7 linked regions of the Nothobranchius furzeri genome follow. The protein of the gene in region 1 interacts with the protein of each later gene in a biochemical or structural test. Links are inferred from orthologs where the notes say so. Each region holds a gene or a part of one and is shown in the gene's direction. Other genes may lie near its edges. The genes, in order: shc1, zap70, proto-oncogene tyrosine-protein kinase Src, ptpn12, GRB2-associated-binding protein 1, csf3r and flt4.

Region 1 (4,451 bases):
TATAGCACGGCGATTCGTTCATATCGGTGTCAATACTGTTCTCTCAGGTAAACAACTATAATCTGTGTCCATGCTAGTACCGAGTCAGGAGCTGAGTGCAGTCTTAACCCAGCGGGTTCATTTACAACACCAGTGGGTCTCCATTCAGGGAACCCTAAGTTGGGGGTCCAAGCCTGACCAATCAGGGCTTGTTATCGTCTCAACAGGCCCACCGGTAGTCATCGTCATCCTATGACCTACATTCTGCCGTGTTACATCACCACTGTGCTACTGCAGTGTGTCTCGCTGTACCAGACAGACATCTCAGACTCAACTTTACCACGATCAAATGGTGCTCCAGCAACAAAACACACCGTGACCAAGGTGGCCAGTTCTACAGAACACACGAACCAAGGCAGGCCATTTCAGGAACCTCAGTCAGGAACGGGCTCAGCTCTAAGCCCAGTCTTAATTACTAACTTTTCACTTTCTTTTGGTTTTATATCGGCGTCTAAAGCCAACATGTCTAGCCTCTAGCCATCCGCGGTCCTTAACGTAAAGAGGCGCAACGACAGGGCTCAGTATTTAGCATACAAGTGTGGGACTGTTAAACAAGGCAGCCTGGAGAACGGGCGAGCAATCGAGGGAGGGGGAGAGGGGGACCGAGAGATCGTTTGGAAGAGGAGAGAGGAAGTGGTGGCACGGGAGAGGGCGGAGGCGTTGGAGAAGCAGAGGCTGGCAGAGTACATCGTGTGGAGGAAGAGAGAGGACTTCCAGGATAAGAGAGGAGAAAGAGAGAAGGGAGGGAAGAGCTCAGAGAAGGGAAGGGAGTCTTCACCAGAAGTGATCTGGAAGAGGAGAGAAGAAGGAGACGTTGGGAGGGAGAGAGCAAGGGCCATTCAGAGAGGACATGAAAGCATCTGGACGAAGGGGGAGAGGGAGTAGAAAGGGGAGCCAGATTTAAGAATAGTCGTGAAAAGTTGAAGCGACTGCACGACTGCAGAGTTTGAGAGCCTCCTCTCTCTTCTTCCGTGGCTCTGCAGGTGTTCGCTGTATTATCGACCAGCCGAGGTTGTGTTTTATGTGTTGCTGCTGTGTTAGCGTGTGCAGCCCCTTCTGCAATCCCCTTGTTGGCTGCTAATAGGAATTTTACAGGCCTATGTCAAGCGTGATAGAGCTGCCAAAGGGGAGCTGCTACACACACGCACACACACTCGGTTTACACTGCCATGTAGACGCGTCACAAACTGATGTACACACCTTTTTGTGCAGTAACACACACACACACACACACACACACACACACACACACGCACAAGGAGCATTCAGAGACAATCACTTGTGTTGGTTCGTCGTGGTGCTGGCGACAGCTGAATAGTCGTCCGGCACTCGGAGACGATTAAGTTGGGACGAGAAATCGTTTAGCATCGTGGCTGAAGACCATCGCTCTACGGAGAGCTGAGAACGTGTTTTCGTCCATTCAGGGGAACTCGGCGAACAAAAGCAAAAAACACCAAAAGAAACTGATGACAACATGAGCTGTTCTGGTGCTCTACAACACTTTTTTCATCTGCTCCCCACCGCTGCTGAGGAGGCCCCACCTTTCCGCAGCACCTCCTCTCCTCCTGCTCTCAGTGTGGATAAAGCCAGTTGTGAAGCGGTTTGGTGCGGGCTGCCTGAGCGGCGGACAGATGGACGCAGCTCCTACACAGACAGATACTTGAGTGTCCTTCCAGAGAAAAACTTTGAGTCGTGAGACAAAAAGACTTGGCTTGAAGCTCTGCAGCCTAAGAGGACCTATAAATAATACATGATGGAGCTCATGCAGAAAACCAAGTACACCCACATTCGGAGTGAGTCGCTGAGCTCAACAGATGAGACCAACTCCATTCCGTCGCCGTTCCCTCCATCCAGCCCCGCCACCCCTCTGACTCCCTCCCCTGGTTTGCCTTCTTCCTTCTCCTCCTCGTCTCTCACTGCCATTTTGCCCCCCACCTCCCCGCGCCCAGCTGAGAACAGCCCCACCACCCTCTGCTCCTTCTTCCCCAGTATGAGATCCCTTCGTCTCGGGGTCACTGGCACTCTTCTCCCAGTGCCCAGGTTCTCAAACAGGTCTCAGCAGTCCCAGGCACCTGTTGAGTCATCTGGAGATGATAGGAGCAACTCTAGCTCCTCCCCTACTCTTCATCAACCCATTCCCACACTAACTGCTCCCTCTCCCCCTCGCCGACCTCCTCTGCAGGACATGAACCGGCTCGGAGGAGCGTCCAGGAGGGCACGGGTGGAAGGAGGGCAGCTGGGAGGAGACGAGTGGACGCGCCATGGCTCCTTTGTCAACAAGCCCACCCGTGGCTGGCTGCATTCTGACAACGTGATCAGCACCACGGGAGTTTCCTATACTGTTCGGGTGAGTGAGTGGCACACTTCAACTGTCCAGCCTGTATTTTTATTATTATTTTTTATTTATTTATTTATCTCAAACCATCGAAAACATGAAATTGCATATGCACTCCCCCATATTCCTGGTGCATACAAAAAAAAATTTTTTTTTTTTTAAATGAGGAATACGATAAACATATGCTGTTGAATGAAACAATACAAAACATACAATAACATAAAACCATTTGAGAGGGAACTGGAAGAAGCAAAAGCTTATCTAGTCCAGCCCCAATTCAGTTAATAAATCACATTTGCTCACATTAACAAATTTGAAAGAAAAAAAAAATTCTTTATGCAGGTCGTTCTATCTTCACCTTGCTAGTTGCTACATAAAAAGACAGTTACAAAACAATTGTTCACATGAATCTACAGAAAAAAGAAAACAAAACCAATAAACAACAAAAACAAAATATTCCATTTGAAGCCAATTACCATTTTTATCACTTGCTATTTACGTATGAGTCAATTATGAGTTGTTTATACAACATTTTAAATGATCTAATGTTTTTACATAATTTTAAAGTCACATCAAGTTTGTTCCACAGTTTGATACCACATACAGATACACACATACTTTTCATAGTTGTTCGGTATAATGGAAAAATGAAGTTTTTAACGCCTCTCAATTCATAACCCTCTTCATGAGTTTTAAACAACCTTTGCAAATTACACGGCAGTACACCCATCATGGCCCTATACGGTACAAGGACAGTTTTAAATTGAATTAAGTCAAAAAATTTGAGTAATCTTAAATTGTAGAATAATGGAGTTGTATGATCTCTATATCCAGAATTTATAATTATCCTTACCACTCTTTTTTGGAGAACACAAATCTTTAATAAATTAGATTTATAAGTATTGCCCCATACTTCGACACAATATGATAAGTATGGTAGAATCATAGTACAATAAAGTGTGTGTAGTGCTTTCTGTGGTAGAGAATATCTTGTTTTATTTATTATTCCAATGCTTCTGGCTAATTTAGAACACACATATTGTATGTATGGCTTCCAACAGAGCTTATGATCAATCAATATCCCCAAAAACTTAATTTCATACACTCTTTCAATGGCTATTTCATTAACAGTCAAATAGATTTCTTTACTACTTCTTTTATTTCCAAATAACATCAACTTTGTTTTGCTGACATTTAACGACAGTTTGTTTTTATCAAACCAATTCTTAAGCTCACTCAATTCATTCTGGACCTTTAGTATAAGTTGCTGTATATCTTCTGCTGAACACAAAATATTTGTATCATCAGCAAACATAATAAATTTAAATAATTTTGAAGTTGTGTAAATATCATTTATATATAACAGAAATAACTTTGGGCCAAGTACCGACCCTTGCGGAACTCCACAGTGAACTTCGAGACAGCTAGACTTGTGATAGCCCAACTGCACATACTGAGCTCTGTTACTCAAATAACTTTTTAGCCAATTGAGAGCTGTCTCCCTTATACCACACTTCTCCATTTTTGATAAAAGTATTTTGTGATCGACTGTATCAAAGGCTTTCTTCAAATCAATAAAAATTCCCAGTAGAGCCCTGCACGGGCCTAAAATCTGAGCCCGTGTCCGGCCCGGCCCGAGGGGGTGGAGCCCCAGCCCGACCCGGCCCAAAAAGGTTTTCAGGATTCTCTGGCCCGGCCCGAGCCCAAGCCCGACTTTTTTTTAACCAACTAAATGAAAACAAAGTGCGTCAATCCTGACCAATGTGTTAAAAGACGTGCAGGATCCGAGCGTCGCAGAAGCGCATGCGGGAAGCTTACTTCCACTGAAGCGAGTGTTTTCCAAACCCTGTCTCTCAGAGAGACTTGTCACTTAGAAAATGTTCCCTGATTATGAAACTTTGGCTGAATAGCGCTTGTTCCTGTCTCCAATGTGCGACACATCCAGGAGCCGTCTGAGGAGAATCCCAGAATCTCACATCCTCTTCAGCTCATGAGCGCATATGATTACGCACAAGCGTGACCCAACACGGTCTCACAGTAAGACTGGGTTGGACCTGTTCAGGTTTACGCAGACAAT
Region 2 (3,766 bases), on another chromosome or scaffold:
ACAAAATGAGGGAGAACATGCTGAGGGAGTACGTGAAGCAGACCTGGAATCTGGAGGTGAGGTTTAGAATTTTGACATTTCTTTGAAAGAAGAACATTTAACAACTCAAATCTAGAGAAGTCATTGTCATATTTTATCACCTCCCTCAAATATTAAACTGGAAAACTGTTTTGCTCGAAATTACCAACAAAGTTTATCTTCATGCTTGAGAAAATGTAATTTCATATTTCAGAGACCTATTTTACACTGTGAGAAATGAAATGTTGAATTTCCATCCATCCATTTTCACCCGCTTATCCGGAGTCGGGTCGCAAAGGCAGCATCCTGAGCTTAGAGGCCCAAACTTCCCTCTCCCCAGCTACTTGGGCCAGCTCCTAGGGGGGAATCCCAACATGTTCCCTGGCCAGCCGAGAGACATTGTCCCTCCAGTCCTGGGTCTTCCCTCGGGTCTCCTCCCAGTTGGACGTGCCTGGAAAACCTCACCAGGGAGGCGTCCAGAAGGTATCCTGACCAGATACCCAAGCCATCTCAACTGGCTTCTCTCGACATGGAGGAGCAGCGGTTCTACTATGAGCCTCTCCCAGATGACCGAGCTTCTCACCTATCTCTAAGCCAGCCACCCTAGAGAGAAAACTAAATTTGGTTGCTTGTATCTGCAATCTTGTTCATTATAATTTATGTCTCATAGGTGACGGAAGGAACGTAGAGCGACCGGTAAATCGAGAGCTTTGCCTTCCGGCTCAGCTCTCTCTTCACCATGACAGATCGATACAATGCCTGCATCACTGCAGACGCAGCACCGATCCACCTATCAATCTTACGCTCCATTTTTACCTCACTCATGAACAAGACCCCGAGATACTTAAATTCCTCTACTTGGGGCAGGACCTCATCCCTGACCTAGAGAAAGCATTCTACCCTTTTTCAATTCAAGAACACGGTCTTTGATTTAGAGGAGCTGATTCTCATCCCAGCCGCTTCACACTCGGCTGCGAACTGCTCCAGCGAAGGCTGGAGATCACTGTCTGATGAAGCCAACAGAACCACGTCATCTGCAAAATAGAGACCTAGAAATCCCGTCCATCAAAGTTATGAACAGAATCAGTGACAAAGGACAAAGTTTCCTATATAAGGAACCCAGAAAATTGCATCAAGTCACTGACTAGCGTCAGTGTCTTTACAGTAATCCTCATACTAAGAAAGCATTTAGCGACAGTGGAGAGGAAAACACCCTTAGAACAGGAAGAAACCTCCAGAGGATCCTGGCTCATATAAGCAGCCATCAACCACGACTCAATGGGGATCGAGAAGACAGAGCAGACACACACACACACGCGCGCGCACGCACGCACGCACACACACACACACACACAACACCAACCCACCCACACAGGTTACATTGTGATTTCTTACTAAATATTCTATTTGGTGAGAGATAAACTTTATTATATTTATCCTAGTGAATCTATAATTAAAGGGGTAAACTAGTAGTAGCACATTCAGTATCAAAGAAAGTAAAAAGTTATTATGAGGAGAGGGAGAATGTTTAAGTGGTTAGCAGCAGTGTGCTAGCCGATGGCCCCCTCCATGAGGCCACCACAGCTCAGCAGAACATCATTGTAGCTTCTTCTGGGGAGAAAAACACTTAGAGAATAAATAAAGCTAACAGCTGAAATTGCAGAAAATCATACAGTTAAAGAGCAAATTGTAGAAGAAAGTAGTCGAGTGTGGAAAGTGGTCAGTATGTCCTCCAGCAGTATAAGCCTATAGCAGCATAACTACAGAGGTAACTCTGGATAACCTAGCCTTTTAGATGGAGGCATGTTGAAGGCAGGGCAAGGGAGAGCCGTCTTTACCGATTGTACACTCCACCTCAGTCTACTCCCCCACTTGTCCAGATCTAGGCTAACATCATGGTGTCTGCTTCATGGACTAAAGTTGAGAGCTGGTTCCACAAGAGAGGAGCCTAATAGCTAAAAGATCTGCCTCACATCCTATTTTTAGATATTCTGGGAACCACCAGTAAACCTGCAGTCTGAGAGTGAAGTGCTCGGTTAGGAACATATGGAACAGTCAGGTCACTGATGTATGATGGAGCTTGATTATTAAGAGCTTTATATGTGAGAAGGAGGATCTTAAAATCTATTCTGAATTTAACAGGTAGCCAATGTAGGGAAGTTAAGACACGAGATATATGATCTCTCTTTTTAATTCTCATCAGAACTCTAGCTGCAGCATTTTGGACAAGCTGAAGAATTTTAACTACATTCTGTGGACTTCCTGATAGTAAAGAATTACAGTAATCCAGTCTTGATGTAATAAATGCATGAACTAGTTTTTTAGCATCACTCCTGGAAAGGATGTTTATATCTTAGCAATATTCTAAAGGTGGAAGAAGGAAATCCTACAAACCTGTTTAACCTGGGATTTGAAGGACATGTCCTGGTCAAAGATAACACCAAGGTTCCTTACTTTGTTGTCGGAGATGAATGTAATGCCGTTCAGGTCGGGTGATTGGCTAAGCAGTTTCCTTTCCTGAAGGAATTAGTTTCCTTCGGCGGGTGGCTGGGCTCAGCCGTAGAGATAGGGTGAGGAACTCGGACATTCAGGAGGTACTCAGAGTAGAGCCGCTGCTCCTCTGCATCGAGAGGAGCCAGCTGAGGTGGTTTGGGCTTCTTGTTAGGGTGCCGGCTGGACGGCTTACATGGGTGGTGTTTCGGACATGTCCTGCCAGCAAGAGGCCCCCGGGTCGACCAAGGACACGTTGGAGCAAGTACACAGTATCTCCAATCTTGTTTGGGAACACCTTGGGGTCCTGTCACAGGCCTTAGTGGAGATGACCGTTGAGAGGGCTGTCTGGGATGCCCTACTTGAGATGCTACCCCCCGCGACCCAGACCTGGATAGGCAGAGGAAAACGAACGAACAAGCAAACATAATTTTAAGTGTCAAAGCAAAATGTGTTTTAACCCTTTGATGCATAATGGGCACTACAGTGGACAGGTACCCAAAATTGTTATTTATTTGTTTTTGCTATTGAGCACAGCTGTCGAAGACTTTATTGCATTTGAGCCCCTCCATTTGGACTTCAGTAAGCCAAGCCAACATATTTCATGCTCAGAATGCACGCTGTCCACTGAGGTGGACATGTAATAAATTATTTGTAAATTATAAAATTTTACAAAAAAATATTTGTTGAAATTTGTTTCATTCACACCTAAAGACGAATGAAAAAAATTGTTAAAAAAATCATGGTTGAAGATTTCATAATTCATGCATCAAAGGGTTAAAGCAATCATGGGGACACCAAAACCCTTCAAGAAGTATAAATGAGTGTGTCTGTTCAGGGGGAAGCCATGGAGCAGGCCATCATCAGTCAAGCTCCTCAGCTGGAGAAGCTGATTGCCACCACAGCCCATGAGAAGATGCCCTGGTATCACGGGAAAATCAACCGACATGAAGGAGAGAGACGGCTTTACTCCGGAGCTCAACATGACGGCAAGTTTCTGTACGTTGGTCATAGTGACTTTTCTTTTTCTTTTTTATCTGCTTTATAGCTGTTGAGCTCCTATTGAAGGTTTTTGTCTTTGTTTGGATTAGAGTCAGAGACAAAGAGGAAGCTGGTACGTTTGCTCTCTCCGTCATGTATGGAAAAACTGTTTACCACTATCAGGTCATCCAGGACAAATCTGGAAAACTGTCAATGCCAGATGGAACAAAGTTTGACACAATCTGGCAGGTTGGTCTGATGCTGTTTTACATCTTTG
Region 3 (4,260 bases), on another chromosome or scaffold:
TCATCTGATACATTTTAGTTATTATTACAACACTACATGGAACACATTTCTCAATGATCCTACTTTCATATTCACACAGACTGCAAAAAAACACGATGTTCATTGACAGTGAAGAGTTTTCGTTTCCCTTCATTTTATTAATAAATATTGAAGATATTGTTGGAAATGCATGTGGATTACAACTGACCAATAAAGTCATTCACCTCAGCTGTCTTTATGATTGTTTTACTCATGTCTGTGAGTCAGTTAAGTGTGACTGGTGTTCAGCTACAGACACAAATATCATAGGGAGATTTGGAGTTTTGCAATGTATTTAAATATAAAGAATAGGTAACTTGTCCATATTTGATCTCGATGCTTTTGATTTATTATGTAAATTTGGGTTTATTTGTGTCATTGTAACTTTCTTTCTCTTGAAATCGCATATCTAGAGAGAATTTTTTCATAGCTAAAAATTTCATTAAGCCAAACGTCATTTTATAAAAAATACTTTTATTTCTATTACAAAAACATTAAAAGGGAACTTATTAAAATAGATGATTGCGACAGTAATTTGAAAAATAAATTGATAAACTATGCACTGATTGTTCACAAGTGCAAACCTTTACATTTACTCAGTTACCAGATTATTTTAAATTACAACGTTGTGGAACAATAAAACTCAAAACTGGGGCAAATGTTTTCCAAACGTCAACAACCCCGGAGGGTTTGACTTTAATGCGACAGTCACGTTCTGCTGTAATGGAAGTGTTGCTAAGCAACCACTTTACGTTGCCTGTACTTTAAGCAAATCATCTCAATTAAGTCATTGCCGGGGATTTGTTATGTAACAAAGTTGTGTATGTATTGAACAGATCTAAAGGGGTTAAACGCGGCAGCGGTGTTCAGAATCTGTTCGTGTCATGCCCAAAGTGATTCCCTTCACAGAGCCGAGTTGCGCAGTTGTTGTCGTAAATTCTCCCGACGCTCTTTGAACGTAAATCTAGTCTTTTCGTGTTCGCCCCTGGTTCGCCCTCATGTTTCGTAAGCGATGCGCTCTCTCCGGCGGCTTCCTCCCCCATACGAGGCTGGTCTTCCCCGGATAACACCGCTCCAGCTCGTTCGCATGATTTTTACTGCGCCGTCGCCTCCTTTCCAGCTGGACCGTCTGCCGGTGCTTCGCCCGGACCACCGCCGCCGTAGCTCACCGCCACCACCGCGGCAGCTGCGCTCCCTCCTTGAGGAGAATCAGTCCTCGTCATGACCTCTCTCCCTTCCTCCGGTGATTCTTCTGATATTCGCTAAATGGGATTTGCGGCTGGACTGAGGTTTCCACAGCAACTGCCCGTCGGCTTCCATATTCTTCTGATGAGAACAGCCATACGAATCTGACCGGGCTCCTCGCTGCGCTTCTCTGATTTTTTTATTTTATTTTTTTGGGGGGCTGAATCACAAGACGCGTCAAAGGTAGGTTTAGTTTATTACAGCATGTAGCGGCTTTTTCTCTCCTGGCGAGGAGATTGTTTACAGTTTTGGGGCCAACCGCGAGCTAACAATTAGGTGTTAGTCTGTTTTCACACATGTATATATGCTGTGGTCCCCTACACACACATACACACACACACACACGCTCATTGTTACACAGGCCATTCAGAGACCACGGCCAGTGCAATGATTCAGTCTGAGCCGGGGCTTGCCCCTTAGGACTTACTACAGACCATAAAAAACAAAAGGTTTGTAAAAATCGCCATCGTGGCTTCGTCACGACGCCAGATGCTCAGAGAAAATCCGATGAGACGAGTTTGCTCTGAAAAAGAAGCCAACAATCCATCGAAATCCAAAATGGAGCTGTAACAGCACCTGTTTTGATTCATCAGGCCACATGCACTGGAGCTACCGCTGTCTGTCACTGAGCCCTCTTAAAAATAAGTCAATCCACGTTCCCATTCACAAATCCAGAAACCACCTGAAACGGATCGCCCTGCTAACTCTGGCTGGTTTTTAATTAGGTTATGTCTTTATTTTTATTTTCTCCCCAAGCAAAGATTCCGTTTTGACAGTTGCTACTCCCGTAGGCAGCAGCCACCCCACCCCGCGTTTCATTGAAAGCAGCTTTGCTGACAACTGGTGTTTAATCCCGTGGAAATAGAATTTTAATTATGTGGCTAATAGTTTATTAGCAGATAGTTTTTTTTTGGGGGGGGGGGGGGGGGGGGGCTGTTCCAGCTAATTTCTGGGAGGAAAGAGATCCAGGTTTCTTATTAAGGAGGAACTTTAATCCTAAAGCCCTAGTATCTGAGCTACTGGTGGACTTGCTGATCCACCAAACATAAAGGAAGCTGCAACATCTAACTGGGCTGTAAAAGCAAAATTAAATATTTTTATCCCATAAATGGGGGCAAATGGGTGATAAACATGATGTTCTGTTTTTGGGTCATTCAAAATATTTGGCTCAATTGGCTGCAGCTATGTTATTGTCTCCATTATTTATTCATGCGTTCATCTGTTTTAGTCAGCAGACATTAAATGTACAGACAGCTTCCTAAAATCAAGGGTTGGCTAATCTGGAACTAAAGCCTTCAGTGAACTCCCACCTTTCCTGATCTTGTTTGGTGTTGATACTAGGAACATTTCAGGAATGTTTTCCTGCCTGTTTTCAGGTAATTCCGACTGCTTGTCATGTCTCACTAGTTGAAAAGGTGTTCCCTGAACACCGACTCATGAGTTATGTCGCAGAACTTTTTTGCATGGAGGCTTCCAGGTGAATATCGACTTCAAGAAGACCAAAAGGTTATTTTACTTTCCTAATGCCTTCAGTGTAAAAGTGAGTGGAGACTTTAGACATGTTTTGATCAGAGGGAGTATTATAAATAAAATGCTCTCATTTGAATAAATGTAAGTCAGAAATGGGGCGTACACGTAGAACAGGGTGAGTTTTAAGAATTTGTAAATGACGTGACATCTCTGACATGAAATGGCCATCATGTCCTGTAAAATTAATCACGCTGAAGCAGCCGCTCCCCACGGCCAGGATCACTGGTTCCCAGAGCCTTCAGTCAGAGATGGACGGAAGTGTTTTTTCTTTATCAGCTAAGTGCCTCAGTCTGTCCGTCTTCCTCCTCCTCCTTTTTTCCCCTTGTCTCTCCTGAGTGTGTTTGCCAGAGGACAGATGAGATGGGAGAGCTTGTTTACCCTTTCCACACATGTTGGATTGTTCATGTAAAGGCTTAGAAGACAAGAAGATGTGGTTCTGATGTTCATTGGACCTAATCAAGTCCATTTCTCTTCCTCTGACTATGTAAAGTAGGACAAGACGGCAATGCCAATGTGAATGCTTCCTCTTGTTTTGATCATGGGGAACCATCGCTGACCCCTCCCCACCTCCTCTTCCTCGCCTTCTCTCCCGAGGGCAAACTGTAATTTCCCCATTGAACTGAAACATTAGCCAGAGCTCCTTCAGTCTCTGCAGCACAGCAACAACTGGTACCGTCTGTTGTGACTCAGTCAGGTTTGTCATAGCCAAATGTGCAGCAATAGTGTGCTCATCATCACAAGAAAAATCAGGGTTGATAAGACCTGGGACAGGGGGATGGATTAGCAAAAAAAGTGTTCTGTTTCCTACGTAAAATCTTAGCACAAGGTAAGACTGACTTCAGAGCCACAAATGTTTTTGTTTTGGGTTGTCATTTTATCAGCTTAAGTCACAATCGGTGTGATCAGACATGCCACGTTCACGTGCTGAATGTTCGGAACTATTTCTTAAAGAGCAAGTCAACTCGTACAAGAAACTTACTTCACTCCCTCTTCATGTTTGAAAAATGCAACAAATTCTGTTGCCTGGCAGACCGAGAGGGCGGAGCTGCTAACAAATACACACAAAGACAGGCTCACGACAGCATTGTGACATCATAATGTACCAGTTTACATCATAGCATACCTCTTAACCAATAGCGGTGGCAGATTTAAATTAAAATACAGTGCAGAGTTTTTACCTGACAACGGCACAACACTGCCAGTTTTAGGCAGAATATTTGAATTTTAACTAAGATGCACTGAAATGCCAAATTATTGACGACACGTGTCTGCAGCACGATTAGACACTCGTTTATTTAGTTTATAAGCAAAAAAATTTTGATTTGGGGGGGTCTCACTCCAGACTCTCACTCCACTCCCACTTACTGAAAAATGCAACAAATGCTGTTGCCTGGCAGACCGAGAGGGTAGAGCCGCTAGCAAATATGCACACACAGGCTCACAACATTGTGACACCATAATGTACCA
Region 4 (4,308 bases), on another chromosome or scaffold:
TCCAATACCGGGCATATTATTACTTCATACTGTGATCCATCTATTAAAGTGTAATTTGTTGCTTCCCTGTGCAATGCTCTTACCAGACAAAAGTCACGGCCATCTTCTTCCACTGAGGCTCAGCTGTGATGTGACTCACTTCCTAAAAAAGCGAAGAAAACACTCCCATTTATTATCAAAAACAATAAATGGGAGTCTGTGGTGATAAAAGTTATTTTCTGATCCTGTTCGATATGTGTCATGGATTTCACTTATAGTTTGTGGGAATTTTAATGACACATTTTGATGCCAGGAAAGTACTTATTCACAACAGGCAACAAAAGATCCTTTAGGTTTTGTGTGGGAAGATGTACTGCCCGTCCCAACAATTTTACATCATCAAACCAAAGAGAAGAAAAATGGCTTTGAGTTTAGCGAGCTTCACATCCATCTTCCAGGACTAAAGAAGGAGAATTAAACATAAGAAAATCACTATAAATCTGACCATGTGGAAAGTGTCAGAGTCTGCTGTGATATCATAAATGAGACTTCTGATTTGTTGTCTTTTTATTAGAGAATTTTTTTTACAAACAAATACATTTCAAATTGTATGACAGACTGAGTTGAAACGTATAATTATCATTTTAACTGAATTACAGCATATGTGTAATAACATTGTAGCCTCATTCGCTGGAAGGGGACAGTTCATGTCAAATTCTGCATGCTGAATAAATAAATTGATTTGAACCTTTTGCTGATTATATTGTTTTGTTAAAAGGAGATACGTCTGTTCATTTTTCTGAAGTGACAATAATACACATTACATGGATATCTTATTTATTTATTTATTTATTTATTTATTTATTTATTTATTTATTTATTTATTTATTTATTTATTTATTTATTTATTTATTTATTTATTTATTGATTGATTGATTGATTGTTCCCACTATGAATGTTGGATGCCTGTGGCTGATAAACTGAGAAAAACAGGCATAAGTTTTATCCAATCACGCGAGGCCGTTTGGTAGAGCTGCAGCCGTCTCAGCCAATAACATTCTGTCACACGTTCTCTTGCTACCAATCAGAAACAGGTATATCCTGGAAAAGGCGGGACTACATCTCGTCGGTTTTGCCCAGTCCGGATGTTCTCCAGTAGCGAATAACGAGCACTAGTGTGAATGTGGCAATCGAGGTAGACAGGGAGGGGTACAGAGACTGACCGGACCGGGTTTTTTGGTATTTTTTCTTTATTTTGTATTTTCTCGCCGAGCCTCGTACTGACAGTTTATTCCACGCCGCGGTTGTAAACTTGTTCGAGGGGCTGGCTAGCCGGCCGTTGCAGCTTTTCTTTGGGACTAACTGCTGTCGTGAAAACAGTCCAGAAGAAAGAAGGAAAGGCAGAAACAACATGGGGCGATAATAAATAAATGTGCTGTGTTGTGGACCGACGATGACTCTCTGGGAGGACCCGTGAAAGCCTATTTATTTTTATTTATTTCCCCTTCTCCCTCTCCTTTGTCCTCTGCTGTTTTATTTTTAATGTTCTCCTCCCCTTGTTAGTCTGGGAGATATATTTAAACGGAAAAAGGCAGCGTTTTAAGAGGACTGAAAGATGGACCAAGCCGGCATCCTGAGACAGTTTATCCAGGGGGTGAAGACCATGAGTGAAAGAGACGAGAAGAGGGGGGAGGACAACTTTGGCAGCGACTTTATGGTGAGCCTAATTCAGCAGGAGTCTAAAGCTAGACTTCTTAATTTTTCCTGTGTCAAAATATCCACGTTTTCCTCATGTTGACCCTTTATATCCGAGCCCCCTTTCCCGTCTTATGGTTCCCTGTATCCCCCAGGAGGTGAGGCGGGGGCGGCCACACTATGCCCACTTCCTTTTCCTCCCATTTCCAGCCTTTATATGGCGGCCTTGCATTGTCTCCCGAACCGCACAGAAACGCCACCAACTCCTGTCTTCAAATCAAAGAGGCAAACAGCAAAACAAGTCACGTCACCTTAAAGCCATTAGATGTTTTTGTCTGGCATAGCGAAGAGCAGCTTTAGCTAAGGCTAAACTGGGATGTTCTGGTGTTTCCTATTGTGTTATTCTAACAGATCTTAGGTGCACACTAGTTCCTCTACCTCCAAGTTCCTTTGTTGTATAAATTTAAATCTACATCAAAAATACAACTGTACTGGGAACACGTGTTCTGCAGTGATTGATAGACTCACCAGTATTTGCATCTTCACTTTGTAACATAACACATCCTGTAATGTGAAACTACACCATCTAAAATGATAGCTAAGTTTAATTTAAACAGTTATGTGTGATAATCACGCAACTCAGTGCAAATAGTAATACCCAACCACAAAAACTACCACTCCCCTCCTCTACTTCCCTCTCATAATCATCAGCTGCAACTTGTGTCCTGGGCATGCCTGAAATTAAATATCTGAGCCAGTGTTGAGCCCTTTTTTGTAATTGTTTGTTGATGAAGTCATTTCAAAACCACATTTAGTTTGTTTTGTGATGACCACAGACTGCTCTGTAATGGGTCTGCCTCTCACTACATGTCTGGATGTTGCAGTTCTGATCTCCTAATTGGACCTCTCCCACTCCTGGGCTTGTGGCTGAAATAGTCACAACATGAATGACACGTCCATAATAGCTTTTGTGCTCAAGTGGCCACTTTAGTTGGGTGGCTTTGATTACAATGTTTCAAAATGTTATGTTAAGGACAAACATTTAATTCCACGTTTGTGATTTTTAGCAATCTGAAATATTGTAAAAACTGTTTTTCAAATAGTTGAAATACAAACTAACCAATATGTTTTGTTTCCGGGAATTAAATGTTTTAGATTGAGTTGGTTTGGAGTCCCATCCCTGTCAGAGTTCTTTTGCCTACACTTGCAAACAAACACTGCTTACTTCCCTGCTTCATCCAAGCTGCTTGCTGGAGCTTGCAACATTCTTTCTTGGCCTATTTCATAACATTTTGTGCTGGCTCAATAGTGGAACTTTTTCAACTCTAATTCATACTCTCAAAAACATTAACTAGAACTTCATGTCGGGCTAGTTGTGTCCTCACTCCTCAGACGCTAAACTTATCAATTCTATGTAGGAATGCACAATATATCGGCATCAATATCGATATCAGCACTTGTAAGTCATTTTTTAACATATCGGTATCAGCCCGATAAATAAAACCAGGCTGATATTAACAACCAATATTTTTTCCATCTTTCCATTTGTTTATCTTTTTCAGAGGGTGAGGGAGGTCATGTGTATTTGTTTAGTCATGTGACAGTTATTTTAATCATCGCAGAAGTGTAAATGTGTGTGGTGTGTGTACATAATAACGTAAATTCAGCTTTAATAATTTTCATTCTGTACAAAATCTGGTGATTTTAGAAGCATTAATGTCAGTATATTGGTATTGGCAAATATCAGTTATCAGCCATAACAGTGATTCATATCGGATATCAGTATCCGCCCAAATATTTCAAATCAGTGCATCACTAATTCTATGAATAGTTTTAATTTCAGAAAATCAAATTGGATTATCACATAAGGCATTCAGAGATTGGATAAAAGCAGAAGAGCTGCTTTTAAGTTTTATTGTGGTTTATTTATCATGTAAAGCTGTTGTTGCAATTATTTTACATTAACATTCTGAGAGTTGGTAACCTGATTGCATAATCACAACTTGAACACTGTTAGAAAGCACAACTCTGCTGGGGGTACTAGACTATGTAATATATGTATTTTACCAAAGTTGTCCATCCATCTTCCTTATATAACTGTATATTTCTAATTGTATCTGTTTTCTGAACCAAACGTATCCAGAGTTCATGTTTTAATGATTTAATCAATCAATCAAAGCTTTATTTATAAAGTGCCTTCCGCAACCCTGTCAGGAAGCCCAAGGCCCTGAACTTGGTACAGTAGAAGGTAAATATATTGAATAAATCAAAAATAAAAGCAATTCAAATTACACAAAAGGCGAAACATTCTAGTACAGGACAAATGTGTAAAACAATGGATAGAGTGAACCAATGAAAACTGTAAAATAAATTCAACATAAAAGAGGGCCAAAATCAAACATGTTCAGGAAACGCCAAGCGGAGGAGGTGTGTTTTTAGGCGACTCTTGAAGACTGGCAGAGATGGGGACAGCCTAACTGATGGTGGCAGCTCATTCCAGAGTGACGGTGCTAGGACTGAGAACGCCCGGTCCCCGCGAGTACGACACCTAGAACGAGGAACAGCGAGCAGGCCTTGGTCAGAGGAGCGCAGAGCGCGTGATGGGGAATGTCTGTTCAGGAGTGTGGCCAGATA
Region 5 (3,766 bases), on another chromosome or scaffold:
TAGCATAGAGAGATTCAAAGTGTCTCACACACACACACACACACACACACACACACACACACACACACACACACACACACACACACACACACACACACACATTTCTGCCAAAGGGCAGGAAAAAACTAGCTGCGTTATTGACACATACTTAATCAAACCTTGTGACCCAGCAGGAAATTAGAACACTGATGTTAAGAAGCTTTGCTCCACTCACATTTCAGCATCTGAAACAATTAGCACTTGTTTTATTAGCTTGATCAGCGTTAGGATCATTAGGATGAGAACTTTGTCCACCAGCAGGACAAAGGTGTGTTTCAGCAGGAACATTCTTCTACTGCGATGCTGAAACCGCTTTATTCCCTGTTGGAGAAAAAGAACATTAATAGGGACGTTTACAGCCGAATTCTCCTCATCCAGACAAGCATGGACTTGGTTTAATACACAGATGTGTCTGGTGCCAGGCTGTTAGCACCATCTAGATTCAGATCTGGTCAAGCTCTGTTTGCACTGTGGAAAACACACACAACATGTTTGCCTGAAAGTTAAAAAATATATATATATATAAATATTAGAGTGTTGTTGTTTTTACGTTGTGCATTATCAGAGTCTATCATGTTTCTGCGCCGTTGGAAGTTAAACGAAAATAAAACACTGGTGCTTTTGTGTTTCAGGCTCCTGGCACATTCCTCTGTCTCGGTCAGACAGAGCCAGCATGTTTGAGTTCAGCGAAAGTTTCAACAGCTACTTTGTAAGTTAAACCAAATACTTGCTGAAACTTAAACGCACCATGTGGACCTTCGGGTCACTTCCTCTTTGAAATGCTGTTTTGTTTCCCAGTTTAATAAAGGCATGGTACCCCTGGGCAGCGTTTGCTCTGAAGACGATGACGTAGAAGAAAGCTACGTTCCGATGAGCGCCGCTGCCACCGAGCCTCCGCCAGCATCAAGGTGGGGGGGGGGGGGGGGGGGGGGCTATTTTGTTCATCCCTGTTTGTTTTAGGCGACATTTAAAAGTTAGTGAAAGTCGTTGTGAAGACTTTGCAGAAAAACCTGCATTCAATGCATCAGTCTATACATGGACGTAGTTTTCACTTTAGAAGTGTGTGGGGGGGGGCACGGGGGGGGGGGGGGTCGTTATTGTATGTGCTAACGGGAAACAGGCTTCAACACAAACGGTTGTTTTCCGCTTGGTCCTAGAGCTCAACCAGTCAGTTTCAAATAGCATAGTATTGTTTTTGGATGGTAAAAAGTGCAGGGGTCAAAACTTGACTTTGGAAAAAGTGGGGGGACATGCCCCCCCCCCCCTAAAATCACGTCCATGAGTCTATATAATATTACATTATGTAATTAAATGACAGTTAAACAGAACTATAGAAATAAAATGGCCACAGGTGTGGACTCGAGTCACATGACTTGGACTTGAGTCAGACTTCATTCATTATTTTAATGACGTCTGACTTGCCTTGATAAATCTATAAAGACTTAAGACTTGACTCGGACTTGAACGACTTGCATCGGTTGGCTTGATGATGACTTGAGCATATTTGATATTTTAGCACAAAAGTGGTGCAACATGGACAAAAATCCTAAATCATTCTTGGTTCTGGGTTTGATCTTGTTCTGCTAAATGCAGCAGCACTTTGTTTATAATCTGTTTCAGTTGCACTTTCTGCTTGTTTGAGCAAATAAATGAAGCTTTAAGATGCTTTATTTCTGGAATTTATTTATTATCATCATTAAATGAAGTAGCACAGATGACTTGATTATGACTAGAAAATTCAAAGTTAAGGTCTTGGACTTGCCTTGGACTTCCACATCAATGACTTTGGACTCAACTTGGTTGTCTTTGACTTGGACTTGACTCAAGACTTGACTGGAAAGACTCATGACTTACTTGTGACTCGCAAAGCAGTGACTTGGTCACACCTCTGAAAATGGTCACCTGTAGACCGTACCACCAGAGGGCAGTAGACATGTACTTGACAGGACATGGCAGGGTTAAGGTGATGGAGATACTGATCCCGATACTCCACCTGGCTGCTTTAAGGCCACAGGTGGGTTCAGGTTGCGTGCTTTGTAGTTTTGACTTGCTTTTAGCTCCCCCTAGTGTGCGTTTAGTAGAACCAAAAGCAAAAACTACCTCCTTGCGGTGCGTTCGTCTTCTTAACACCTTAATCTAACTGCTGAAATGTCTCCCAGCATCCATTAGTGTCTACAGGAGTGATGCATCGCTAAATTAAACAAATCAGCTGTGTTCATGTAGAAAACAATCAGACTGCAGTGTCAGGCATGTCCGATCCATTTTTATTAAGTCCAACAAGTGGCGGCCGGCACTCTGAAGTTGCAAGTGCAATATTCTGGCCACAGAGAGTGTTGGGGGTCTGAGTGACTTTTCATTAACCCTGTAAAGGGTCATCTTAGCACATCCTAGCTCAAGAAAATGATTTATTAACGTGGAAAGGTTGCAGGTAATCCTCATCGGGATAAATAAACCCGTCTCTGGTAACTCTGAGAGAGGGAAGCCAACCAAAGGAAACATTTATTACCCATAGACACAAGGGCGGAAATCCCATTTCAATTTTGGGGGGGGGACAATAAACAGTAAAACTTCAGAGAGTAATTTTTGGGGGGGACATGAAAAAATGCTCTCTACATACAACACTGTATGTCCTTATAAGAGACTGACCTGCGACTCTGTGCCTGACAGGCTCTGGCTGCCTGTGCTCAAGTGACTGGACTTTGCCTAATGAAACCATTTAGAAACAATTTCATAGGCATTTCATTTCTTTCTTATAGATGTCTTTATCAAAATGCAAGTTTCTACTTACTTGACGTTCTGGAGCATTAAAAATCGACCTGATGTCTGCCGTTTTTCATTTCTCTGCCATTTCAACTGACCTGGTCTGCTGACAGTTGGACAGCAACACACACACAGATGGGATGTACATCTCCATAAGCATCCTTTCTTTTTGTTTTCATTTCAATAACAAGACTGTGGCCTAAAACGGAATAAGCAATTCAGAATAAAGATTTAAAAGTAGATCGTTGATAGTTGAAGCAACCTGTCCTGAAATGGCATGGCTATTAGCTGACCAACAGCTACACGTGTGGACGGATGCAAAGCATTAATTTTAAGTACTAAAACATATCTAACTTTTTCACAACAAAGAGAGAGAACATAAATGTCAAATTAAAATTTTATTAAATCACATAACATGAAAGCTACTAAAATCCAAATAGTTCCATATTGATTTTAATACATTTGAAATTTTCCTTCTAAATATGTCTAGAAAAAAAAACAACCTTCTAATCAGCTTTCACAAGTCAAGTATCAAAATGACTGAAATCTCTTTAATAAATCATAGAAATGTTTGTAGGCTATTAGAGAATAACTCTGTAATATTTAATAACTTTATCTAAGTCCTACTGAATGAAAAGATGCACAAAATCTAAAAAATATATTCTTGAAATATTTGTTTCATTTTAATAATAAAAATTAAAAACATCTACTTTACAAATACACTAAACATACATACTCTATAGTTTATCTTTCAGATTAACAGATCTCTCACTTTTCTCAGTTTTCATAGTGTTTTTGGGTCTGTGTGGCCAACGCGATCTTTGGCTCTATGTTTTACACTGAGAGCTTTGAGCAACGTGCCTCCAACACACATTTGCTGCAACCAGTTCATCCCTAAGCTGCACGGTGCACCTGCACTTTGACATATTGTAAACAACTGCAGAGCCTGGGGAAGACGGGATAAGAG
Region 6 (3,766 bases), about 7.6 Mb from region 1:
AAGCTCGTGGGGGCCACACAAGATACTGAAAAGCAATTTGAGTTGCAGAAATGAAGTTTTTGAAATAATGGACTAGCCTGCCACATCTTCATTTCACTCAGATTTTAGGGTGTCTACACAATTGAGCCCTCTGTAGGCTGATAACTTTTATTTCCATTAAAAGACTTGGCATCCTTTTGTTCCTAAGGCATTGCCCTGTCATTATTTGTATAGATATCCAACTTCATATTGAGATCTGATGTATCTAATGTGTTTCTTTAAAGCGTTCCTTTAATTTTTGTGAGCAGTGTAGTTTTGTGCAGAACAGATGCGCTCCCAGAAAATTTTCATGAGGGAGCCAGAGGTGGCAAACCAAATTGGTCCTTATGGTGATTGGTTTTCAAGAAAGTAAAAAAGCCCAGTTGTTTTTTTATATTTTACCTTGTTCTAAAATGAAAAACATTTCACATCTAGAAAAATTTTATTACTTAAAATTAAGGTAAATGTTCTTAAATATGATCCAAATTCTCTTGTTTTGAGCAAAATTTGCTTAGCTAATTTTTCTAAAATCCAGAGAAATAATTTAATGTTTTTATTTTATTAACTAGTTTGAAAAATTCTAGCTAAGCAGCTTTTCCTTACCCCATAAGCAGATTTTTTAAAATTCAAAACAAGACTATTTGGATCACATTTAGGAATATTAATGATATTTTAGGGAATGCATATTTTTTGTGATGAGACTTTTTTTCTTTTCAGATAAAAAAGATCTACAAATGTAGCTTTTATATGGTCTTGAAAACCCAGTTTTTGCTATGTAAGGACCAACTTGGTGTGCCACCCCAAACTTTTCTCTGGCCCCCACATGAAAATTTTCTAGGGGTGCCCCTGTTCTGCGCAAACTTCGTTTTTTCTCCAGATGGTTAGAAAAGTAAACAAGGATTACAGCTATTTTTAGCTCTTTACAAGGTGTTCCTTTTTAAAAAGTCACTTGTGTTTTTTCCTACAAGCTCAGTGCTTTTTTTTTAATGATTAAAATGGAAAGATGTTGCACGATCTTCTAAATCTCACGTTGATAAGCCAAAACTATTTAAGGTCTTAAATGTTGATTGTTGTTATTTCAGCAAAGTTTGACCCACCAAAGATTCGAGCCATCACAGCAGACCCCAAAAGGTTGGGCTGCCTGAAGCTGGTGTGGCGCTTGTCCCAAAATCAGGAATGGATGTACTTTAACTGTTTAAACCTACAAGTGCAGTTTAAAGCTGCTGGCAGCGGCCAATGGTCCGACCCACTGGTGAGTTTAAATCAATTCACCTTTAATATAAAATGACAGCGTGCTCTTGTGTTTCCTCAGCAAGTCTCCAGAGAGTAAAGATGCAGTGTTGATAGTTGCAGACAGTCATGGCTGCACGATTTTTGTCAGACCTTCCCAAACAGGACTAGATCGCCCAGACCGATGGATTTGTGTCGTCTCCTTCCTGGGACTGAGTATTTAGCCCAGATCAGAGTCCAATACAAGCAGAGCCCCTGGAGCGAGTGGAGCAGCAGCAAGTCTGGAGTCACCCCGGAGACAGGTCGGGCTCAGATCAATTTAAAATGACACAGTCACTTTTAATCTTTGCCCTTTTCTTTCTACTCTCAAATTCAATTCAATTCAAAAATACTTTATTAATCCCAGAGGGAAATTCAATTGTTTCAGTACACAAATATGACCTTCAGCTCTTGCTGGTTAGGTTCACGGCCGAGTGTGAAGCGGCTGGGATGAGGATCAGCACCTCCAAACCTTAGGCCATGGTTCTCGACCGGAAAAGGGTGGCTTGCCAACTCCGGGTCGGGGGAGAGGTCCTACCTCAAGTGGAGGAGTTTAAGTATCTCGGGGTCTTGTTCACGAGTGAGGGTGGGAGGGATCGGGATATCGACAGGCGGATTGGTTCAGCATCTGCAGTGATGCGGACGCTGAACCTATCTGTCGTGGTGAAGAGGGAGCTGAGCCAGAAAGCCAGGCTCTCGATTTACCGGTCGATCTACGTCCCAATCCTCACCTATGGTCATGAGCTTTGGGTAATGACCGAAAGAACGAGATCGCGGATGCGGATACAAGTGGCCGAAATGAGTTTCCTCTGTAGGGTGGCCGGGCTCAGCCATAGAGATAGGGTGAGGAGCTCGGACAATCGGGAGGGACTCGGAGTAGAACCGCTGCTCCTCCGGATCGAAAAGAGCCAGTTGAGGTGGTTTGGGCATCTGGTCAGGATGCCTCCTGGACGCCTCCCTGGGGAGGAGTTTCGGGCACGTCCTGCCGACAGGAGGTCCCCGGGTCGACCCAGGACACGTTGGAGAGGTTACATCTCCAATCTGGTCCGGGAACGCCTTGGCGTCCTGCCGGAGGAGCTGGTGGAGAAGGCCGGGGAGAGGACAGTCTGGAGCTCCCTAGTTGGGATGCTGCCCTCGCAATCCGGACCCGGATAAGCGGAGGAAGACGACAACGACAACACACATATGCATGTCTGCATCTGTAGCTTAGGCTGAATTGCAAGTATCGCGTTTTGTCGTTTACCTCGCCAGCGGATCTATAAAAACCTGCCTTGAACAAAAAAAAGTTCCACTTTCTAAAGTGTTTGGAGGCTTTTTAATGACACTTTCTTTCCTTTCAGCTCCTGTTGGACGTTTGAACACGTGGATGAAGGTTTCCAAAAGCCAAATGCACAAGCAGCTCGACGTACAATTGTTCTGGAAGGTGAATGCCTTTTCACTTGTGGTTCTGGCAGAGCTTGAGAGGTTGTGCTTTTGTTACTTCTTTCTAAACGTTTTAGCCATCAAGACGTTTCCGCGCAAACGGACAAAATGTGTCCTACGTGGTCTCGCTCCAGAAACGGCTTGGTGAAAGGTGGAAAGTGTGCTCCACAGGCATGAATCACTGTACTTTCAAGCTTTCTGCAAGAGTAAAGACAGTATATCTGACAGCTGTGAACAGAGCAGGAGCATCTTCCCCTACTGAAGTGTGGATTTACCAAACTAAAGGTAATAATTGTTGAAAATATCGTTGGGAACATCTGGTTTCTGCACGCAACTAAAAGTTTCTATGTTTGCAGCTCAGACGGCGGTGTTGGATGTCACAGCTGTTCCTCATGATGGATCATTCTTGGTCCAGTGGACAACCGCGGCCCCATCAGACCTCACTGGTTACGTGGTAGAATGGAGGCCTTTGTTAAAATCAGACCTCTCACACATCCTGTTTGAAATTGTGGACAAAAACCAGTCCAGTCTTTCCCTTTATGGTAAGCAAACTGTTCTTTATCACACGTTTTAGAAGGAACCTCCTCCCTCTTCCTGTCGTGCATAAGCCGTCTGTACACACTGTTACCATCCAGCAGCCACTGATCCACTCTAACCTCTCCACCCTCATCAATAGGCAGCTTTGAGCCCTACAAGCCCTACGGGATCTCCGTATATCCCAGATTTAAGGATGGGATCGGGCCTCCGCAAACTGTTGATGCCTTCTTGCAACAAAAGGGTGAGTCATGGAGGATTGTGCAAAGAGCAAGCAAAGGTGCAAGAGTCAGCCTGTATCAACTTTGAAGTAGTGAGAAAAGCACTGGCAAAAATCAGATGACATCAACTGGGCAATCCCCTTACTGGAGGCATGATGTGTGAGGAAGTAGTGCCCTCTTGTGGAGGGAAAAGGTTTCTATTCTTGGTCTCTAGGATCACAGGTTGTATTTTCTCTTCAAAGCTCCAGATGTGGCTCCTAAAATGCAAATTAAAAAGATCTGGAAGTCATCTTTTGAGCTTT
Region 7 (4,202 bases), on another chromosome or scaffold:
TAATGTCTAGTCTGACAGTCAGAACCAAGGTGGACTGTTGGGTTAAACCAGCTTCAGGCTCCTAGAAGTCACATCACTGTTGTAAATATCTCATTACATGCAGAAATGAGAAGAACACTGAGTTGAACTTGAACTCTGGATGCCCTGGATATGCTACTTTTAATAACATAATGTATTAATATAAGGTAAAACCTAAAAATAATGTACGGTCAAAAGTCCATTTATGTCAGTGATTCAACTTAGACTGAGAGACCATCTAAAGGCTCAGGAACTCTTTGCAGATGTTTAGGATTCATTAGCTGATTAGAGTGTGACACTGAGTGTAACCATTTAAAAAAAGAGATTTTTATATGTGGGGTTATCATGAGCTGCAATCCATAATCATCACTATTGTAACAAATAAAGGCAGAAATATCTGGCTTTGCTTGGAATGAGTCTGTCTCATTCATTAGCTTCACCTATTAGTTAAATTAGTGGCATAAATAACATTTTGCCCCATATTCGAATTGTTGAGTTTCACTTGTAAAGAATTTTTGAAACATATCCAAGATGATGGCAATCTATATGATGATGGCAACTCTTCAGTCCCAACCCCCCAAATATTCAGACTGAGGCTGTGAACAGGTCAGATATTTATTATTTATAGAATTACCTCACAAACGCTATTAAAATGACAAACTGAGAGTTAAAATGTGGCGTGTTTCCGTGGCATTTGTCAGGTTCTCTCCTGCTGAGGCTTTTTCAGAGCTCTGGTGGCCACCTGCTGAGCTATTGAAGGTGTTTTTGTGTCTTCAGACAGCCGTGAAAAGAAATCACGTTATTTTATTTATTTCATAAATAAACCCCAAAGCACTCCATGTGGTCCTTATTGCTCTTAACCCGACCTTTACCATCCTCTCTGTAACTGCTGCAGGCAGGTCTGGATGAGGCTTGATGGGAATCTGCAGGAAGGAAATTTGTCATGGACTTTTGGACGACCCTCAACACACGCACGCACACACACACACACACACACACACGCACACGCACACACGCACACACGCACGCACACGCGCGCGCAGAGAATTCAGCTTGTTTTAAACTGGGTGGGTCGTGTGCTCCAGTCACGAGCAGAGGAAAGGGAAATCATTGTAAATCCCTTTCAGTGTCTCATGCATCCGTCTGACGGACAGGAAAAAAAACGGTTTTATTTGTTTTTCCCACTCCGGTTGGGTTTCACCTGCGCCCCCCCCCCCCCCCCCCCCCCCGCCCCCCATTTCCTCTCCAACATCCACGGATCTTCATCCAACTTCTCACAAGTTCACACCAGCATTACCACCAAGCACGAGCGTGTGCCACAGATCTACCTGGAAATGAAGACAGATTTCACGCTTTTCTGTCGGACTTGGATCGGAATCGCGTACGCCTCAGGTGAGACTGCCGGGCAAAGTTTGGAGCGCAAAACTTTCCTATTTTAGTCGAACAAACTTTTTGCACTAGTCTTAATCGAGTTTGTCTTGATGAGTAAACGTGACAGGTTACACGTTCAGATCCACGTTTTGGACGTTTTTGAAGTTTTAAAGCCGGTCTGTCCCACTCATTATAAACCCGTGTGCAGAAGCAGTGGATATTAATTGGAGCTATTAAAATGACTCAGATTGCCTCAAAGTTCCCCAACGCCTCTGAGAATCAAACTAAGTTAATAAGTCTGCATGCAAATAGGCACTAGAGGGAGGCATGCTGTTGTTTTGACTAATAGAGATGGAGCTGATAATTGATGGTTCATTTAAGTGGTCTCAGATCAGTTTTACATGTGGGTCACGTTGTGGAGGTGAAGGAGCCCACTGATCTGGAGTCAGACACATAGAGTGTTTTTATCCCCAACACATACCTTAAAAAGAGGCTAGATTTTTAATTTTATGTGTTCTCTCTCTCTCTCTCTCTCTCTCTCTCTCTCTCTCTCTCTCTCTCTCTCTCTCTCTCTCTCTCTCTCTCTCTCTCTCTCTCTCTGTCTCTCTCTCCCCCTCCCTCCCTCTGTATGTCAGTGGAAAGTTCTTCTAATGTAAAGCACGTTCTTTCACCTTTTGCCTCCTCTCGCTAACGCCCCTGCTTTACATTTTGTCTGAGACTGTTTGCAGCTATTTTTTATTTTTGGCTGAAGATCTGATGTTGTTCGTGGTGACTGCTGTTTTGCAGCTGTTGGTAACGAGCAGCTCTGCAAGGGGCATTCACCATATGGCTGCCTGGATCATCACTCTGATTCGATCTATCTATATCTGAGCTGATGTGCTGACTGGGACATCCATCCCAAACGGAAGGGCTTATTGTTCCTTAGAGGACCTTATTGAGAAAAACCTTTTTTGTGAAATGCTGAAATCACAAAAACTTGCATGATCAGTTACAGGAGTGTGTGTTGTGAATGACTCTCAGATACACCAAATTCCAGCAAAAAGAAGTAAATGAGCTAATTTTCTGCTAAATTGACTGAGTTTTATCCATTTTCTTTGTTGGCCAAGGTCAATGGGTTGTGGTAGCCAACTTCAATGTGGTGGACTTGAAAGGTTATTCAGAGAAGAAAGGTACAATCAGGTTAGAATTTATGTCTAACCATTTCAAGACAAGAAATTTGAAAACTAAAGTCGAGTTTACACTTCTCCGTCTGCATCGCGGCGGAGACATGCAGCACCATTACGCCTAATTTATACTCCTCCACGAGGAGAGACAAGCACACACGGACTGCCCTCTGACTTCACCGTCTCCTGGGCAGTGTTGCAAAGCAATTCCCCGCCAGGACAACAGAGGGCGTAGTGCTGTTCTGTGGTATCCTGTCATGTATCCTTTCCAAGATGGTGCATAATATCATATTTATGTTGTTTTTTGTATTTAACAGACTTTTTAACACAAACAAATTTGTCCCTCATTCTCCTTCACCTCTGTGCACTCGCCACCTCTAAACCCAGGTTTCCCGTAATTTTTGTCCACGAACAAAATGCTTGCTGCGGATCTTTTCACTCCTCCAGTCATGGGGGAACGTCTGCCTCTAGATCTCCTCGGCTGTCTTTATGTTTTTGAGAGCGCATGGGCGGTGCTGTAGACGACAGCGACTTCCTGACCAATCACAAGTTTTGTCAGGTTTTTGCAGACTTTTTTTTAATCAAAGGTTTGTATAGGGTAAGCTTAAGTTAAACTTTAGCCTGTGCCCTTTTGGTTATAAACTATGATCAAGTGTATTGGCTAATTTTCACAAGGAATCAGGGATTTTGTGTTTTGATTCAATTCTGTTTATTTATCTAACACCAAATCATGACCAGAAATGTCACAAGGCACTTCACAATGTCCATCCATCCATCCATCCATCCATCCATCCATCCATCCATCCATTTCCGCTGATCCGTGATTGGGTCGTGGGCTCGGTAGCCTAAAGACTTTCCTCTCCCCAGCCACTTGGGCCAGCTCCTCCGGGAGAGTCCCAAGGTGTTCCCTGGACAGCTGAGAAACAGTCCCTCCAACATGTCCTGGGTCTTTCTTTGCAAATCCTCTCGGTTGGATGTGCCAGGGCACTTCACAAAGTAAACATTCCAATTGAATGTAGTTCATTAGCCCAATTAGTTAAATGTTTCTTGTATAAGTAGCCCAGCAGGTTGCATCGAGTCACTGACTAGTGTCAGTGACTTTACAGCAGTCGTCAGCAAGCATGCAGCGACAGTGGAGAGGAAAACTCCCTTTTAACAGGCGGAAACCTCCAGACAATCCTGGCGCAGCATAAGCACCAAGTAGTGTTTCTGTGGCTGCATACATCGTGATTTCTTAGTAGATATTCTATTTCTTAACAAAATCAACTTTATTGGATTTATTTGATTGAATCTGGAATAATTCAGCAGGTAAACTAGTAGTAGCACATTCTATGATAAAGGAAGTAAAATGTTATTATCAGGATAGGGATAATGTTTAAGTGGTTAGCAGCAGTGTGCTAGCTGATGGCCCCTTGAGGAGGCTACCACAGCTCAGCAGAACGCCAGACCTGGTGTAGCTTCTCGGCAGAGAAAAACACTTAAAAAAGCAGAAAGTTAACACCTGAAATAACAGGAAACATGTAATCGGAGAGTAGTGGTAAATAAACAGATGGAGACACTCATTTAGTTTTTTAATGACATCATGTAGTAAACACACAGGTCACAGCAGCAGACATGGCTAATGATCCATGTGTGGCAGTGTCATTTTTA

Evidence for each region.
Region 2: of the proteins of shc1 (region 1) and zap70, one has a biochemical effect on the other in vitro, tested with the Homo sapiens proteins (2 studies listed by BioGRID, with this or other methods). The link is inferred for Nothobranchius furzeri from reciprocal best matches to the Homo sapiens genes SHC1 and ZAP70.
Region 3: of the proteins of shc1 (region 1) and proto-oncogene tyrosine-protein kinase Src, one has a biochemical effect on the other in vitro, tested with the Homo sapiens proteins (4 studies listed by BioGRID and IntAct, with this or other methods). The link is inferred for Nothobranchius furzeri from reciprocal best matches to the Homo sapiens genes SHC1 and SRC.
Region 4: the proteins of shc1 (region 1) and ptpn12 form a complex in vitro, tested with the Homo sapiens proteins (2 studies listed by BioGRID). The link is inferred for Nothobranchius furzeri from reciprocal best matches to the Homo sapiens genes SHC1 and PTPN12.
Region 5: the proteins of shc1 (region 1) and GRB2-associated-binding protein 1 form a complex in vitro, tested with the Homo sapiens proteins (2 studies listed by BioGRID and IntAct, with this or other methods). The link is inferred for Nothobranchius furzeri from reciprocal best matches to the Homo sapiens genes SHC1 and GAB1.
Region 6: the proteins of shc1 (region 1) and csf3r form a complex in vitro, tested with the Homo sapiens proteins (2 studies listed by BioGRID, with this or other methods). The link is inferred for Nothobranchius furzeri from reciprocal best matches to the Homo sapiens genes SHC1 and CSF3R.
Region 7: the proteins of shc1 (region 1) and flt4 form a complex in vitro, tested with the Homo sapiens proteins (2 studies listed by BioGRID). The link is inferred for Nothobranchius furzeri from reciprocal best matches to the Homo sapiens genes SHC1 and FLT4.

What each region holds. Positions count from the first base shown.
Region 1 is NC_091745.1:78,657,063-78,661,513, forward strand, and holds the start of shc1 (SHC-transforming protein 1), read left to right. Parts: upstream 1-1,571; 5' UTR 1,572-1,789; coding exon 1,790-2,386; intron 2,387-4,451. UniProt on the Homo sapiens protein: Signaling adapter that couples activated growth factor receptors to signaling pathways. Participates in a signaling cascade initiated by activated KIT and KITLG/SCF.
Region 2 is NC_091748.1:67,053,322-67,057,087, reverse strand, and holds part of zap70 (tyrosine-protein kinase ZAP-70), read left to right. Parts: coding exon 1-56; intron 57-3,346; coding exon 3,347-3,507; intron 3,508-3,599; coding exon 3,600-3,738; intron 3,739-3,766. UniProt on the Homo sapiens protein: Tyrosine kinase that plays an essential role in regulation of the adaptive immune response. Regulates motility, adhesion and cytokine expression of mature T-cells, as well as thymocyte development.
Region 3 is NC_091743.1:58,638,874-58,643,133, forward strand, and holds the start of proto-oncogene tyrosine-protein kinase Src, read left to right. Parts: upstream 1-1,233; 5' UTR 1,234-1,446; intron 1,447-4,260. UniProt on the Homo sapiens protein: Non-receptor protein tyrosine kinase which is activated following engagement of many different classes of cellular receptors including immune response receptors, integrins and other adhesion receptors, receptor protein tyrosine kinases, G protein-coupled receptors as well as cytokine receptors.
Region 4 is NC_091741.1:48,575,269-48,579,576, reverse strand, and holds the start of ptpn12 (tyrosine-protein phosphatase non-receptor type 12), read left to right. Parts: upstream 1-1,374; 5' UTR 1,375-1,594; coding exon 1,595-1,696; intron 1,697-4,308. UniProt on the Homo sapiens protein: Dephosphorylates a range of proteins, and thereby regulates cellular signaling cascades. Dephosphorylates cellular tyrosine kinases, such as ERBB2 and PTK2B/PYK2, and thereby regulates signaling via ERBB2 and PTK2B/PYK2.
Region 5 is NC_091742.1:87,984,627-87,988,392, forward strand, and holds part of GRB2-associated-binding protein 1, read left to right. Parts: intron 1-671; coding exon 672-748; intron 749-837; coding exon 838-947; intron 948-3,766. UniProt on the Homo sapiens protein: Adapter protein that plays a role in intracellular signaling cascades triggered by activated receptor-type kinases. Plays a role in FGFR1 signaling. Probably involved in signaling by the epidermal growth factor receptor (EGFR) and the insulin receptor (INSR).
Region 6 is NC_091745.1:71,077,839-71,081,604, reverse strand, and holds part of csf3r (granulocyte colony-stimulating factor receptor), read left to right. Parts: intron 1-1,100; coding exon 1,101-1,270; intron 1,271-1,399; coding exon 1,400-1,550; intron 1,551-2,627; coding exon 2,628-2,710; intron 2,711-2,786; coding exon 2,787-2,994; intron 2,995-3,065; coding exon 3,066-3,251; intron 3,252-3,385; coding exon 3,386-3,487; intron 3,488-3,706; coding exon 3,707-3,766. UniProt on the Homo sapiens protein: Receptor for granulocyte colony-stimulating factor (CSF3), essential for granulocytic maturation. Plays a crucial role in the proliferation, differentiation and survival of cells along the neutrophilic lineage.
Region 7 is NC_091741.1:101,961,617-101,965,818, reverse strand, and holds the start of flt4 (vascular endothelial growth factor receptor 3), read left to right. Parts: upstream 1-1,250; 5' UTR 1,251-1,352; coding exon 1,353-1,410; intron 1,411-4,202. UniProt on the Homo sapiens protein: Tyrosine-protein kinase that acts as a cell-surface receptor for VEGFC and VEGFD, and plays an essential role in adult lymphangiogenesis and in the development of the vascular network and the cardiovascular system during embryonic development.